4 linked regions of the Bombyx mori genome follow. The protein of the gene in region 3 binds, or shares a complex with, the protein of the main gene of each other region. Links are inferred from orthologs where the notes say so. Each region holds a gene or a part of one and is shown on either strand. Other genes may lie near its edges.

Region 1 (4,276 bases), on a different chromosome or scaffold from region 3:
TGAATTGAATTTTTTTAGTATATAGAATATAAAAAAATATTAATTTCGGTAAATACATTGCTAAAGTAAATCGCAAGTAAATTATATTCCTCTAAAACAGTGAACGGAAAACATAATATACATCTGGCCGGGTAGTAGCTAAGATTTTATTATATGTTGATGTGTGTACGCAATGTAGAGGTCTGCCGTGATCAATATAAGTTTTTAAGACTACAATAAACAACATATTATTATATCAATGGCAGATCTGGTCAATTACTTTTAAAATTTTATTTTTTTAGCATTTTCAAAGTGGTCTGCCACAAAGTAAAATGCGCGGTAATGGTATGCCATTCTTATTTTCCGATAATAATAATCATATATTTTCAAAATTTCAAAACGGTAGACGTGGTCAAATGGATTTAAAATCCGTCAAAATCGGTACCTGTCCTACCTGAGCGCTCGGCGCGTCGACCACTTTGAGCTTAGTGAGTCCCCACCTCATGCATGGTAGGTATAGGGGTCTCAATGTACGAAAATTCAGGTCTGGTCAAATACATACAGGTAGAGTCCACGGGCTCTTGGGCTACAACGTTGAAAGACGCTTCACGTCAGCTTCCACTATTGCCTTTGTCTACTTTGTCGTTATTGATTTTAGTTTTCGGGTAATGACGAGAGGGAGAGAGAGATGAATATATTTTTTTTAGATCAAAATTTCGATGGCTGACTCGTTTAAACCAATAACGAGTTGTGTATTCAGTTTTAAATGTTGTGAGCCGTTTGGGCGGCAGTGCCACCGCGATGGATCTTTTATTCCATAATTACTCATATTTTTACGGTATCTACATTATTGAAAAGATACAAATAGTAAAAATAAAACATTAGGGAATAAACAATTGACTGAATTTCAAAATATTATCTATTTATTTAAATTAGTATTTATTGCCAGTCATACAAAAATTGCATTTCAAATGGCCAGTTCTCACGAACAGGAACTTCTTAGGCAAATACATATTATTTCCTACGATTATGAGAAAGGCTACGAAAAAAAATTTTTTTTGTGTGTATTGTTTCAATACAAACTCAATAAAAAGCAAATACAAATTGGTAAAATATCTTTAAAGATTTTTGAGGACCTGTCGTACATGCTGATGCATAATTAAAAAACGCGATTACGTACTACGTAGCTTGTATTTAAGTCTAATTAATTATGTTACCTACAACATTTGCGGTTAAAATAATAAAATAATAATTCTACGTGTTAGTTTTAGCGGGCTTTGTATCTATATATCTACCATATACTATTTAAATAGGTATGTGTACCTACTAATGTATATAAGACTGACAGTGGCTGTAGATCATAGACTTCAGTGCTGTAGATACATCTTCAATCCACCACAGTTAAATCTAAATTTGTCACTGTCTTTTTATAAGTTTGGCTGTATGATTGTTGTTCCCTTTAACAATACTATCAGAGAAATCGAGTAAACATACTGTGAATGTCAAATTTTGATTTTTAATAGTAACAAACAAAATTTTGTTTTTATTAACAACATTTATGAACTTCTTGACTGAAACTGATTCCTTAAAATTCTATATTAACAAAATTCGAGCTGTTTTACAAAATGGCTCAACGGGCACGAAGATCAAACGCTGGAAATCGTATGGCTAAACTCCTTGACGAGGAGGAAGAGGATGATTTTTACAAAACAACATACGGAGGGTTTAATGATGTTGAAGAGGACGTAGAATATCAGTATGTAATATCATAGTATTCATAGAATATACGTTGAATCTATTAAGCTTTTGGTTTCGGAGAACCGAGCCTAAACGACACTCCCTGAAAGGTACTTGCGAGTAGAAATGTGGGCTGATGAGTTACTTAGATTTTTTCCGCTGCTATCTAGCTAGTCTCTGAAAGTACAAGACAAAGGGCTTCGACATATAGCGGAAACTCTCACTTCTGAGAATCATGCTTTTCCAGTAAGGCAATCAATCACTTCTTGTTGTTAATCATAAGGTCGTAAGATATTTTGTCAAGTAGTCTGCAAATTCAGCACATTCCAGCAAAATGTTAGCTGCTGTCTCATTGCCTCCGTCTAACATATTGTATATAAACATTTGTTCAATTTTTTTGATCCATAATATCCTATAAAACTATGATTAAATCATAAAAAAATGTTAAAATAATAATGGCAGAGTTACATTAACAAAGTTAATCCTATAGAGAAAAAATAAGCTACGGAAACAAGCAAATTTACTGGCACCAAATAAATATTTGATATATTTTGGATATTCTTAGTGGTTTGCGATTCCAATCTGGTGGTAGAATCTGCAAAGTATTACTCTTGCCAGAGTTAGTGTTAGTAAATTCTTTAAGGTTGAGCCTGTGAGCTTATCTACTAGTCTGCGAGAAGCTGGAATAGACTCTTAACTTACAAGTGAATTTTTTCTTTCTTCTTTCCTATTACCCTCTGGTGGAGTGTAGTAGGGCTTGAATCAAATTCATCCATTTGCATAGTTCTTAGGCAGATGTGAATAGAATAATAAAAATAGAAGAAAAGTAGAACATGTGAATAGGTAGGGAAAAAGTTGTTAATATATAGTATAAAGTATATATTATAGCCTAATAAAATAGTTAATGAATTTACTTGACCCTTGCATTAAAATGTTCAGTGGTTAACTTTGAAATTTTTAACATTTTAGACAAGAAAAGGAAGTTGATGATGAAGTTGATTCAGATTTTGATATTGATGAGAATGATGAACCAGTGTCTGACCAGGAAGTTGAAGAAAAAGCTAAAAGAAAAGTTGGCACTAAAGCTTATAAGGTATAATTAAAATATTCTTCAATGAGTTTTATAGAGTTATCCTCAGTGGTAGGCACCATCCAGGATATGTCCCCTATATTATTTTGTAATGATTATTGATTAGCATTATCAGGTATGTTTGGTTTATTCTTTCAATAATCGTTTTGTATGTCATAATAATAAAACTGAGTAACCTTTTGCACTACACATCTTATAATTGAAACTAATATTACACTTGTATGAAATAGGCAGAAATTGTAAAACATTGAAATAGAATAGCGTAGATATATTTATAAATATGAACTGCCCAGACATTATTTCAAATAAAAATCTCAATGCAATAATGATATTTCAGGACCCCAATAAGAAGAAATTAAATGAAAAATCAAAAAAGACAGTCATCAAAAAATCCAAAGATGATAAATCTATAGAAGACAAAGTTGAAAAACAAAACAAAAGTGCCGTGGACAAAATTGTTGATACCTCAATAGGTAATTTTAAACTTTTCTTTTAATGATATACTTTATTTGGTGTCATTATAAATAAATAAAACAATAAGTTTTGCTTAAGTAACAGTAAGTTTTGTAGTAAGAGTAGTGTTGTATGAGAAAGGAAATTTGATTCATAGCTAAATCTCTCAAACCTCACCATACAAAATAAATATCTTAAGTCTTTATGAACCTGGCTAAGAAACTGAAATCGAATCAATTGCAAGAAAATAGTAAATGAATAAATAGTAAAAATGTAAATAGTTTGAACTGTAAAGAATTCACAACTAAAATGTATATATAATATAATATGTAAATAAATGTAGTCCTATTTTTTAACTGAAGAACGGAAGTCTATAAGACAAAGTACAGCTATGAAATCTGCCGAGACAATACAAAGGATAAAAATCAGGTCAGAGCTGAAAAAGAAGAAACCGAAGAAAGTAGAAGAGAAGATGCCGACCCAGGAAGAGCTGTTGGAAGAAGCAGTCGAGACAGAGAAAGAGAACTTAAAGAGTTTAGGTGAATATATATTTCTAATTGTATGAATGGGTGATAGAGCTTCAAGACATAGTAATTAACAGTACCTTGAAATACGAGGTCTTAATCTCAATTTTATTTTATAACGGCTGTATCGTTTTTCAAACCGGAATAAGCAGAGGGTTGTGTAGGCATCACAAGATGCCCACATGATGACCAGCAAGAATTACGTGAATTAAAATTTTCGTGCAAAGTTAAAGTACAACTTCAGGAATTCTCTAAACTTGTTCTGTTTTGTGAGCTGTCTCATACTTTGGAACATAAATCAGGATATTTTTAAAATTTTGATAAAATTGCCCATAAAGGGACTTATACTATTAACAAAAACCAAAAAAAAAATTTTTTATTCAACATAAATGAAAGTACATACTTGTTGAACGTCAAAAAGAACTACCACCAATTAACAAAAACTAGCCTCCGTCCTGAGAGGAACTGGCAAGAAACTCAGCTGGCGTCTTTT
Region 2 (4,327 bases), on a different chromosome or scaffold from region 3:
GGTATTTATTGATTGACTCAGTGGCAGAATAAACAACGCCCCTGTTAGCAGAGCCGAGATATGTAGGTTCGATTCCCAAGTCGAATTTGTGGAAAATATTGGTACGACAAACTAGTTTGCCTGTCTTTAATAGCCAGACATGTTTAAACATATTAAGTATGCATGTGCATCAGTCTTTGTTTCCCATAATTCAGAAAGTCCTAGTTTGGGACTAGATGACACTTTGTCATTATTTACCAATTATCTGTTATTTATTTTTATTTTGAAGTGAATTTGATAGAGAGATTTACTGCTCCCCAAACGTAATTCATATTGAAAATTTATCAATTCGCGCTTGCCTAGATTTTCTGGTCTATTATAATTGGTATAGTGGACAGATAACCAATTGTAGACAAACTTTTCACCCAGGGAAATTCTGAAAAAAGCTTATAACTAGCTTTTCTAGCGTTTGAGCAACTGAGAATGATCAATTAATTTATTTTAAATATTTTTTTTACCATGATCGTGATGATGAGTTTGTAAAGCATGATGAGCCAGCTCTCCACCTGCAACTGCTTCATAGGATGCTTTCAATGATGCTGTACGACGACCATGCTGCATCTGTACATTAAGAGAATTAATGTTAACATAATTCGGAAATAAAGTGATGGTTTTATCAAAAAAATATTATATTAAATGATACATTATATCTATTTGTTAAATGCAGAAAGATTCTGAAGCTGAAATGAGCATAAACTACTGCCTTCACATGAAAACTCTATTAATTCGTATAAATACTTTTCATTTTAATTATTATTCAGAGTATTTGTCAGTCTATAAGTAATTAGCTGGAATAGTAGTTAATTTATTTTATTGACCAAAAAGTGTAGATTTAAGACTGTGTATAATGTGTTATCCCGTTTTGAGGTCAGGAAAAAGTGATATCAGTTAGGCTGAACCTGTTATTTTTATACAACCAAAAACATGTTTTTTATTAATCATGTATATTAATGTTTAATTTACTTGTTGTGTAGCAGCAATAGCTTGGCTTGCTGCTGCAGCTATGGTACTGCCAGCATGTCCCAAAGAGTAAGATTCACGACCAAGTGCAGCCTGAAAGTATTTGAACAGAAATTATAAGTTTTACACTGTACTTTGAAATAAACAACTTATTTGCAAGTTAAGTTGTAAATTCTGAAAATTGTTTCTTAGTAATTGTTTTTTTTATTACGACTTTTTTTTGAGTTTGCCTAAAATCTCCTAACAAACCTGTATGGCGGAGTCAGTGCGCGACATATTGCTTGAGGAATGTCCACGTTGGGAATCACGATTTCCCCAACTATCTCGTCGCTTTTCTGGCCTTATGCGATACCTGAACAATTTCCAAGAATTATCTTATTTTATTAATGTTTCATTTTTTTTTCCAAGACAGATCAAAGGTGGGCATGCAGCAGCATATAGAGCCTACCTGATGGTATATAGTCACTGTAACTCAGACATCAGCAATGCCAGGCATAGTCAAGCTACTGATTACTTACTGTTCCAGTAGGAAACAAGATGCGATTCAAACTACAATGAATTGTAGTTTAATACTAACTCTTGAGAGCAAATTATTGTTTAAAGATAGTATCTATCCAACTATTTAGTCAAAACATGATTGAGGATATTTTTCATTACACAATTTTAATTTGACATTTGTGTTGAGTTACCTATTTTCCTTGTAATGACTGCTGTTTGATGTGCTAGTGTGATTAGTATTAACATCCAATTCAAGTGACCTCTTCTCAAGCAATTCTGTTATCCCTTTGTTGTCTGCTTCAAGCTCACACTTGAATTTATGCAGCTCTGTATCTGTTTTTAAGCATGTTTAACTTATTATTTGAATATTTCGAATATATAAATTGTTTAATTATACATCATACCATGTTTTCATAGTGGTACACAATTATGTATGCAAACCGGAGTGTTAATTAATTTTAATTATGGAATCACTCATTTAACTGAATTTACTTAAAAGTTGCAATATATTTCATACATTATTTTGTGTACAGGATTTTTTAGTGATACGTACCTAATCGTCGAAGATACCTATCAACCAAATCATACATTTGGTTGGCAAGTGTGGTCTTTTCGTCAGCCTCTTCTAAAGTTTTGGCATAGCCCCGCTTAATATCCGAAAACTCAGTATTGGCTTGATCGGTATTTATTTCACCACGACGACATCCACCAAAAAGAGTACGGACTCTTTTCTCAAGGGTGTCCATGTTATCTATTAATGACCAAAATATAGTAAAAGTCTGGTATAATAGTGTAATTGTATTGTATGTATGAATGTAATTTTATGGCAAGATAGCTTACTTTGGACAGACAAATCCATTTCTCTCATTTCAGTAAATCTGTCTCGCAGTTCTTGCGGTAGATGTTCTATCACTGCAATTAAATCTCAAATTTTATTCGGTTTATGCTTTCACATAAACTTTAAAATTAAATCAAGCTGTTATTATTATTTGTATTACTTAATTTACTAATTCAATATTCTGCGTCAACGATGTTGTTTAACAATTCAAATAGTGGTATTTTTAAATTTTGCGCTTTATTTATTAAGGACGCTACAGTGCTACCAACTGTCTTAATGGATTTTTAGTTACGTCACTGGTCTAACAAATAACTTACTTTCCAAATAATCTTCAAGATACAGCATTTTGGTGAGTGTTTTGTGCTTCAAGTTTGTTAAATTACTGTTGAAATGCTAACTTTGAACCTAAAACTCAAATAAATTAGTCAATAGATACTACGTTGATGTATACTTAAACGTCACACTTCATAAAGCTGGAAAGCTTGATTGATTTTACAAAATGGTGGGTAAGTAGTGCTGTGACAAAAAGAGTGTTAACATCGGTCACAAAATCGATTAAAATACCAGCTAACTAAGAAATATTACTTTTGATTTATTTCTTAGATTGAACTTAAACTTTAAAATTATGTGGTAAATAGCTGTTTGTATATATTGTAAGTATATAGTCCAAGTGGTCCAAGGTAAGTTAATTACTAACCTTTGATTCTAATTAATACCATAGGCATAGTACTAATAATACTATACAAAGTATAAGTACTAGTTCGTGTATTTGTATCGTGTATTTTGAAAAAACATTTCCATAGATCGCATATGTAGACAAATTAGAAATTTCAATTTGACACAATTTCATTCAAAAGACACACTTCGTGTATTTGACGATTTCGACAATCGACTTAAAATAGTCGCGATTAAAATATGCGAATTCACAACATCAATAGGTAGGTACCTAATATGTGCGCTCATTGGTGTGTAACCAAGTACCGTACATAACTGGCTACAAGGAGAGAAGCGCGGGAAACTTGATTGTAGACGTACGCGTTTTTCGACTTATAAATTATTTTATTTTATTTTTTGGATTGGATCAGTAGTTTAGTGTAGTTTATATAGTAATATTTGTTTTGTTTAAGTTTTATTTATTTAAAAGTGAATTAGGACTGTTATTGGTAAGTGTTTTTTTTTCCTAACTTTTGCTCCTTATGGAGCCGCCTGATGACCCTGGGGGCGGAGAAGTCCCTGGGGTCGGTTACAATGTAACAATATCAAATGAATCTGGAATGGAAACCGATGGATCCGTTAAATCTAACAGTGGTGCTCGAAAACGTAGAGCCACTGTCAATAAGCATTGCTCTAAATGCCATAAAAAAAGACGAAATCGGAAACAAAATCAGGGCAAAGAAATAAAACCAAACGAATGTGATTGCATACCTTTGTTTAATAGTAACACTAACACCCAAAGTATTACTCCTCCCCAATTCACTGACTCGCAACTGAATTCCAATCAGTCCAATCAGTACAAAAAACCAGAATCGGTAGCCAGATTAACTTATCAGGTAAGTGATGCAGCACCATATGTTGTTCATGTGCAAAAAATACAGCAAGCTCCTAACGATGATGTAACAGTTCACCCTATCGCTTTTGGTCGTTTTTTAAAAAGGAATTCTATCCACAACATCGTTAACGGAAGCTTAAAAAGAATTGGCCGTAATAGACTGTCTCTGTCTTTCAATAATTACCAGGACGCAAATTCTTTCTTAAACAGCCCTGCTTTGCAATCCGCCGAGTATAAGGTTTTTATCCCAACGTTTACTGTGACCCGTATGGGTGTCGTAAGAGGCATACCTGCTGAGTGGTCAGATGAAGAAGTTATGGAAAATATTAATTTACCTGTTGGATGCGGTCCGATTTTAAAAGTAAGAAGAATGAGACGGCGTATCATTACTAGTAATGGCACTGAATTTAAGGCTACTGAAACTGTGGTTCTCACCTTTGATG
Region 3 (3,330 bases):
TTATTGAAATCTACAAAATTAGACGGATTAAAAAAAAACCTACATTATTGTTCGTTTTATTTGTTTAAAACAACATGCCTCTAAGGGTTAAATAAAAGCAATTAAGATAAGGAACAAAAAAAAAAAACCGATCATACAGATTTATTTCAGTTGAGAGATAGTCTGAATTCCACCTACCGGACTGTTGAACACATGTAACGCCATATCACATGTGACGTCATATCTTTCGATAGTGCTCTCTCTGTCTAGCATTCAATTAAAAAGCTTACAACCACTACTATACTACTAAACATCATTTCCTTAGTTACAAGCTGGATTTATACGAAACATTTATAAAAATCAGTCATCTAGCCTATTACTAAAACAAAAAACAAAAAAAAATTAACTCATAATGAACTACGAATCTACACAAGACAAAGTGAAACAAAAAAAAAAATTCGTGCAAACATGTTAAGATGTGTCATGAGAGTCCCAAGCAATGTTAGTATCGAGCCATTAAAAAAACAATATTATTATTAGTTAGATACAAAATGAACGGGTTGCATACGTGTCGAAGCTTGAGTTAGATAGCTCTCGTCTCCATTATTATCACTTCAAACACTGTGACAAAAAGAAAAAAATAAACATCAGAATATATAGTCAAAAAGGAATGGCGAATAATAAATCCATAATTGATACATAATTTACAAAGATTATCAAAAATTATGCAATCATCGATTTAAATGAAAATATTAAAATATAATTGGAGGATATAAAAATATAAAATATAACTGTGTGTGTTAAATAAAATAATAAAGAATATATAAGTAGATAATTCAAATGATAAACAATAACACACATTCACAGATTTATTTCTACGATCCGAAATTACTAAGGTTGGTTATATTATTTTTTATTTAAATCAACTTACCATTTCGCCCGTTTAGACCAATCTTTTGGAGTCCAGTGTAAACATTTTGGATCGATTCTTAGCATACGTTTTTCCATTGCTTTCTCGTGTTGCTGAAGAGTTTCCTAATTATTGATAAGAAATATCAGATCATGGGAGTACTTTTCTTTTTACACTTAAATGGAGAAAACGTTGCTTTCGGAAATATAAAGAAAAATATATTTTTTCCCATTATGTGTATACATATTTATATTTTTTAAATAACTAATCTATATCCGATATTAAGTTGAGTTATAATAACGATAAAATTAACGTGATTTTTAAACTATTGCATAGCTTTTATCGCGGGCTTTGAGCGCGGCGACCGAATCAAGAAATTTCGTAACGAAAATAAAACCTGACACTCCCCACTCCGCCTGCCATGTAGCTCGCGTTCAACACATTCACGTTGCGCTTGTGCAGTATTTGTGAATAAGCGCGCGGCGTGACGTCGCACTGGATGCGCATCATTAAAAGTCTGCCCATCTCTCTCTCGCGCGGTTTAGCTTATGAGTGTGAAGGGGACAATTAATGTTTTGCTTTTGTTAATGTTTATAAATATAGCGTGTTCTTATTTTATTATTGTTTTAATATTAAATTATTATTGTCTAATTATAACTGCATAAGTTGATAAAAAATGCTATGCAATAGCTTTACCGCGGCAGTCCCCGAGTGCCACACGTGTTTTTATTATTATTAAATAAACTACTCGATTCTTCATTAAGTTGAAATCAAATTTTAACGTTGTTTCCATTTAAGTGAGTCATAAATAATTATCAATTAACGGTATAGATAACCTGGTTGACCGAGATAATGTACTGTCCCTTGTAGTAGTTGATGAGGTTCAAATTCTGCAATGTACTGATCACGTCCTCCTTCTTAATGCTAGTCAGTTCGCAAATTTCACTAAAACAAACATTTTATGTAAGACGCAAATAAAATTTCTCTTGTGGTTTAATTTTCAAGACGTCGTGGCCTAAATGATAAGACGTCCGATGATGCATACGTATCTAGTGATGCAACGGTGTTCCAATCCCGCAGGCGGGTACCAATTCTTCTAATGAAATACGTGCTTAACAAATGTTCACGCGATTGACTTCCATGGTGAAGGAATAACATCGTATAATAAAAACAAACCCGCAAAATTATAATTTGCGTAATTACTGGTGGTAGGACTTCTTGTGAGTCTGCACGGGTAGGTACTACCACCCTGCCTATTTCTGCCGTGAAGCAGTAATGCGTTTAGGTTTGAGGGATGGGGCAGTTGTTGTAACTATATTGAGACCTTAGAACTCATATCTCAAGGTGGGTGACGGCGTTTACGTTGTAGATGTAGGGTTCCGCTAACCACTTAAAATCAGGTTGGCAGTGAGCTCGTCCACCCATCTAAGCAATAAAAAAACTGTTCTATTTATATATTATACCGACGGGTGAAAGGCTATTTGGTTTAAGCGACATTTCGCTTAATACGCGACATACGCGTTTCATTTTGGTATTACCATCAACAGTTAAATGTTTTTAACTGTGAAACAATACAATCACGCCATCATCGCCGAAACAATAAAAAAGCGGCACAAACACATTACATATAAACTACTAGCTGTACCCGTCCGCTTCGCTGGGAATTTAAAATTAACATTATTATTTCTCACCCCCACAAAGATTCTCATCATTAACGCTGCCGCAACTGGTGTAAGGAGTCGAACATATTGGATTTCTCTTGGCAAATTATTACACAAAAGTACGGGCACCATTTTATTAGCAGAGCGGAAGGGAAGTGAAGTGACATAGATTCATTTTGTAATAACACATTATAGACTAACTAAACTAAATTATAGACTAACATATATAGCCACAGAGTAGTGCACAAATCCTAAATTATACTCAACACACCCCCTCAATTTATAGAAGTTTACAACTGCTTAAATTGTTCAAACAAAATATAAGTTTAATGAATTACAAATTTTGTTAACTGTCCACTCTGTGCATTACTAACACTATTTATCATAAATACCCTTTTTTTCTTTTTCTTTCAATATTAGTTACATTAAAATATTTACTAAATTAACAGTTATCTAGTTAATTCTCTTAAGATAATAATAATGCTAAACAATTAAATATGTATAACATATGCATAGCTTTTCTAATACAATATTTAAACTAAATTCAACTTGCTACAAAAATAATTATGTTTTTGAATAGTTAAAGATTTTGTAAATATATCAGAGATATTTTCATTTGTAGGCACATATGAGATTGACACTATTTTCTTATAAATTAAATCTTTAATGTAGTGATATTTTATTTCAATATGTATAGAAGCTTTAGTATTCATCTGATTTTGTATCAATTTTATTGTACTCTGATTGTCAATCAATAAATGAGCTGAAATGATACTAGTA
Region 4 (4,075 bases), on a different chromosome or scaffold from region 3:
CAGAGCTCAAGCAGACGCTCATCAGACGTTGAAGGATTACGGATCTCCGATAATTCATCCTGTGGTACAAAGGTAAAGAAAGATATATTACTAGCTTATATTTATGAGTCAAAGTGAAGTCGTCGTGGCCTAAAGGATAAGAGGTCCGGTGCATTCGTATGTAGCGATGCACTGGTGTGTAAAAATAAGACTTTGACTTAAAACTCTCATTACTAGGCTATAAAACCTTTTAAAAGTTGATGTTGATGTTGACACCGAACTGTCACTAAATGGTCAGATATTAGCCAATACTTAACAACTCTGACAGCACTTAAAGTTTTATAAAAAGCTTGAGATTTATAAAAAAAAAAAAGTGCGTGCGTACAAAGTACACATGTCAGAAGTGAAACTTTTTTGGCGAACTAATTTATAAGTCTTACTTATATTTATGCAAATCTAAAACTTTAGATTTCCAAGACTTAGAAGAAGGGAAAAAGGAAGATATGTTCCCGCCAAAAGTCTGTCAAATGTCAATCTCAAACCTCAGTGTTGACATTCACATTATGCTTAGATTTCTAAATTGTAGATGACTAATATTTTGCCAATTGAATTGACTAATTTAATTTCATGCTATGTTCCAAATTCTTTTCATTTCATTTCAATTCCTATTAACATTTTTCACAAAAAAATAAAATATTAGGCTGTATGATATGATACATTTGCCTTTCCAGTTGGAAAAATACAACAACTACTACTACTGACATTTGACAAGTACTTAATTTTAATAGTAGTTTGATGTCCTTCCGTTGCATACCTGCGTGACGTTCTGTAAAAATTTTACCCTCATAAAGAAGAAAGAAAGAAGTTTCACTTGAAAATTAAATACCTTCATTACTTCATGTTGTTGACTCATTTCAGCAATATTCTTCTGGATCTCGGCTATCCGATCTTGGGTTAAACGTTTCAATATACTCTCCTGTGGAGTTTCCACGCCACCGTCAGAGTTTCTCTTTTTTCGTTTCGGCGTTTCCACATGTTCTAATAGCGTTCCATATTGTGCAGCACAGCTGATGGATGGAAATGTGTTAATGACATACGGATAACGGAGCCCACAGTTCTTGTAGATCTAAATCTCATTATCATTCAGCTATCCAATGCTTCAGAGGAAGACATGACATCTACGCAGTTTGATATGGATTGAATAAGCTCATAAACAATATAACTATTTAAAATAATAGAATGAATATAATTAATTAGAGCTTTAGTGTCTTTCAAATAAGTTATTTGTAATTTTGTTAATTTTTTTATGAATAGGATTAATTTACTGGGGATTTAAGGAGCAATCTGCAAAATTTAAATTTTTTCATAGATTTTAAATAAAGAAGGTACATACTTAGTTAGACTCTTTTTATATGCCATTATATCAGAACTCTTTCCAAAGTGTAATTACATTAAATGATTTTATTTTAAAGCTAGTGCTATTTTATTATTTATTTTATTTATTTATTTATGTACACACAGAAAACAAGACACAGTACAGAGTAATAGGAAAATTATGTACAAAGGCACTACTTATTTCTTTGAGAAATCTCTTCCAGCAGACCTGCGAGAGGATAATGAGAATAATAATAAAATGTGATAAGTGTGTGTAGAACAAACTTATTGCTATATATGCTACTTATTTTAGTTTATTTGATAATATATTTTTATAAATTATTTATAATATTGAATATTCAATTGGCTTTTGACAATGATCTCATTTTATTTTGTTTAACTCGGTGTTATTGTTTTGTCAAAATGTTGTATTAACATTTCTTTTGAACATTTAATTATTGGGGCCACCCGCCATATAATATAAGAGCTGTGTTTAACCAATCCTAATGTTGTCAAAGTTATAGAGGGTGTCTTTTAGCGAGTGGAAAGACTTAAAGAGCGGACAGTTCACGTGGTATCGACATGTTATGCGTAGAGAGGAGATGCATGAGACTAGGAGATTTATGGAAATTGTAGTGCAAGGTAGAGGGGGAAAACTTGACCAAAGAAGACATGGATGGAGTGTGTGAATGACGATATGAGAGAGAGAGGAGTGTGTGTTGACCTATTATAGCCTACTAAATACTATAATAGCTCTACTGAATATAATTTTAAGTTTTATCGAGTTCAAATAACGTGGAAAGCGTGGTGGAATTTTCATTGGTGAATAATGCAAAAATGGTTTGAAAATAAAAAATAAATGTGTAAAAACGAATGTGTTTCTCATCAACTCAGCCACCACTTCACTATCGCAAGCTATTTCAAACCTGTATCAATAATTATATAGTAGATATAAAAGAAAAACAAAACCTTTTTTGGGAATACCAGTCCGGAGGCCTGTTTGGCTCGCCAAGGGTCTTTAGAGCGCGGGAAACCGACATCCAGTTCTGATCCCCGCTTCTGACCACGGCGGAGGCCAGGCATAGCTGTTCACGTATATTCCAAGTGTCCAGAGGAACTCTTTTGAGCTGAAGACGCTCTTGTATCGAGCTCATTTTGAGGTTATGTTTTGGAAATGGAGTTTCGAGATTACATAACTATTTATAGTTGTTTAATTGTCCATGTAATGTGTATTTACTGTTTTGAAAGTATATTATTTTTATTTTATTATTTAACTGTTTAGAACACAATTAATAAGTGTTTATTCTATGATACAAACGTCAAACATGATACAAAACAAATATATTTTTTTTAAAGTATTTAATGACCTGGTTATCAAGACCTTCGGGTCAAGTCTTATTTTAATTGTAATGAAAACTTTTTTATATGTAAAATTATAATATTTTATTTCATATTATAATTTTACATATAAATGAAGTTGATTAATATAAAACATGGCATGAAATGAAATCAAATGAAATGAAAACGAAATGGAATGAAAAAGAAATCAATTAAGATGAGATGATATAGGAAGAAAATATATAATCTCATTAAAATGGTTGTCATTTCATTGTAGACTTTTTCAGTGAAATTTTTGGAGGATCCCGAGAAGTTACGTTCAGCGGCTTGTTAGTTGGCGTGTTCAATTATTATTATTTCTTTTATTTATTGCTTAGATGGGGGAATGAGCTCACAGCTCACCTGGCGTTAAGTGGTTACTGGAGCCCATACAAGGTAAATGCGCCACCCACCTTGAGATATAGGTTCTAAGGTCTCAGTATAGTTATCTCGAATATATTAAGTGTATAAATCTATGATAGTTAGACTCTAATACACTTTTTAAATAAGATAGATCTATGACATATTTTTTGAAGTCGTCGTGGCCTAACGGATATGACGTCCGGTGCATTCGTGTTGAGCAATGCACCGGTGTTCGAATCCCGCAGGCGGGTACCAATTTTTCTAATGAAATACGTACTCAACAAATGTTCACGATTGATTTCCACGGTGAAGGAATAACATCGTGTAATAAAAATGAAACCCGCAAAATTATAATCTGTGTAATTACTGGTGGTAGGACCTCTTGTGAGTCCGCGCGGGTAGGCACCACCACCCTGCCTATTTCTGCCGTGAAGTAGTAATGCGTTTCGGTTTGAAGGGTGGGGTAGCCGTTGTAACTATACTTGAGACCTTAGAACTTATATCTCAAGGTGGGTGGCGCATTTACGTTGTGGATGTCTATGGGCTCCAGTAACCACTTGATACCAGGTGGGCTGTGAGCTCGTCCACCCATCTAAGATATAAAAAAATAAAAAAATATTTCCACTATTTTCCACAATCCACTGAGTTGTCTATGTCGTGGGGCGTTAGGGATGATAATCGCGTGCCAAGTGAGCCTTAGAATCGCCTACCGATTCGACACAATTAAAAATCTAATCTTTTAAAGTCCTTATAGGTTATTATTCCCAGTATGCGTTTAGGGTCATGTTTGTCATTTAGGCCTGAAACGAGTCACACGAAATTAATTATCAGCATTCAAACGACTTTTTAATTATTTTTAAGGAATTCCGGAAAATAAAATAATATCTCACATTAATTTCTCTCAAATTTTAGATACATATATTTTGTGTGTAACTTGAAACTTAGTTTTTCTTTAGTTAATTTTATGAGCTATGTCCCGCCG

Evidence for each region.
Region 1: histone acetyltransferase Tip60 (region 3) and vacuolar protein sorting-associated protein 72 homolog share a complex: the UniProt entries of both Homo sapiens proteins name them as parts of the nuA4 histone acetyltransferase complex. The link is inferred for Bombyx mori from reciprocal best matches to the Homo sapiens genes KAT5 and VPS72.
Region 2: histone acetyltransferase Tip60 (region 3) and inhibitor of growth protein 3 share a complex: the UniProt entries of both Homo sapiens proteins name them as parts of the SWR1-like complex. The link is inferred for Bombyx mori from reciprocal best matches to the Homo sapiens genes KAT5 and ING3.
Region 4: histone acetyltransferase Tip60 (region 3) and bromodomain-containing protein 8 share a complex: the UniProt entries of both Homo sapiens proteins name them as parts of the SWR1-like complex. The link is inferred for Bombyx mori from reciprocal best matches to the Homo sapiens genes KAT5 and BRD8.

Annotation. Positions count from the first base shown.
Region 1 is NC_085112.1:12,270,603-12,274,878, forward strand, and holds the start of vacuolar protein sorting-associated protein 72 homolog, read left to right. Parts: upstream 1-1,448; 5' UTR 1,449-1,604; coding exon 1,605-1,735; intron 1,736-2,685; coding exon 2,686-2,809; intron 2,810-3,143; coding exon 3,144-3,279; intron 3,280-3,621; coding exon 3,622-3,798; intron 3,799-4,276. UniProt on the Homo sapiens protein: Deposition-and-exchange histone chaperone specific for H2AZ1, specifically chaperones H2AZ1 and deposits it into nucleosomes.
Region 2 is NC_085109.1:7,261,531-7,265,857, forward strand, and holds the start of inhibitor of growth protein 3, read right to left. Parts: upstream 2,863-4,327; 5' UTR 2,681-2,862; coding exon 2,653-2,680; intron 2,410-2,652; coding exon 2,338-2,409; intron 2,249-2,337; coding exon 2,051-2,248; intron 1,831-2,050; coding exon 1,689-1,830; intron 1,352-1,688; coding exon 1,249-1,351; intron 1,093-1,248; coding exon 1,003-1,092; intron 601-1,002; coding exon 498-600; intron 1-497. UniProt on the Homo sapiens protein: Component of the NuA4 histone acetyltransferase (HAT) complex which is involved in transcriptional activation of select genes principally by acetylation of nucleosomal histones H4 and H2A.
Region 3 is NC_085124.1:9,232,000-9,235,329, reverse strand, and holds the end of histone acetyltransferase Tip60, read right to left. Parts: intron 1,835-3,330; coding exon 1,726-1,834; intron 1,015-1,725; coding exon 911-1,014; intron 601-910; coding exon 594-600; 3' UTR 542-593; downstream 1-541. UniProt on the Homo sapiens protein: Catalytic subunit of the NuA4 histone acetyltransferase complex, a multiprotein complex involved in transcriptional activation of select genes principally by acetylation of nucleosomal histones H2A and H4.
Region 4 is NC_085117.1:1,939,465-1,943,539, forward strand, and holds the start of bromodomain-containing protein 8, read right to left. Parts: upstream 2,860-4,075; 5' UTR 2,508-2,859; coding exon 2,323-2,507; intron 1,047-2,322; coding exon 866-1,046; intron 60-865; coding exon 1-59. Other genes in the region: uncharacterized protein LOC101740762, read right to left, coding at 4,056-4,075. UniProt on the Homo sapiens protein: May act as a coactivator during transcriptional activation by hormone-activated nuclear receptors (NR). Isoform 2 stimulates transcriptional activation by AR/DHTR, ESR1/NR3A1, RXRA/NR2B1 and THRB/ERBA2.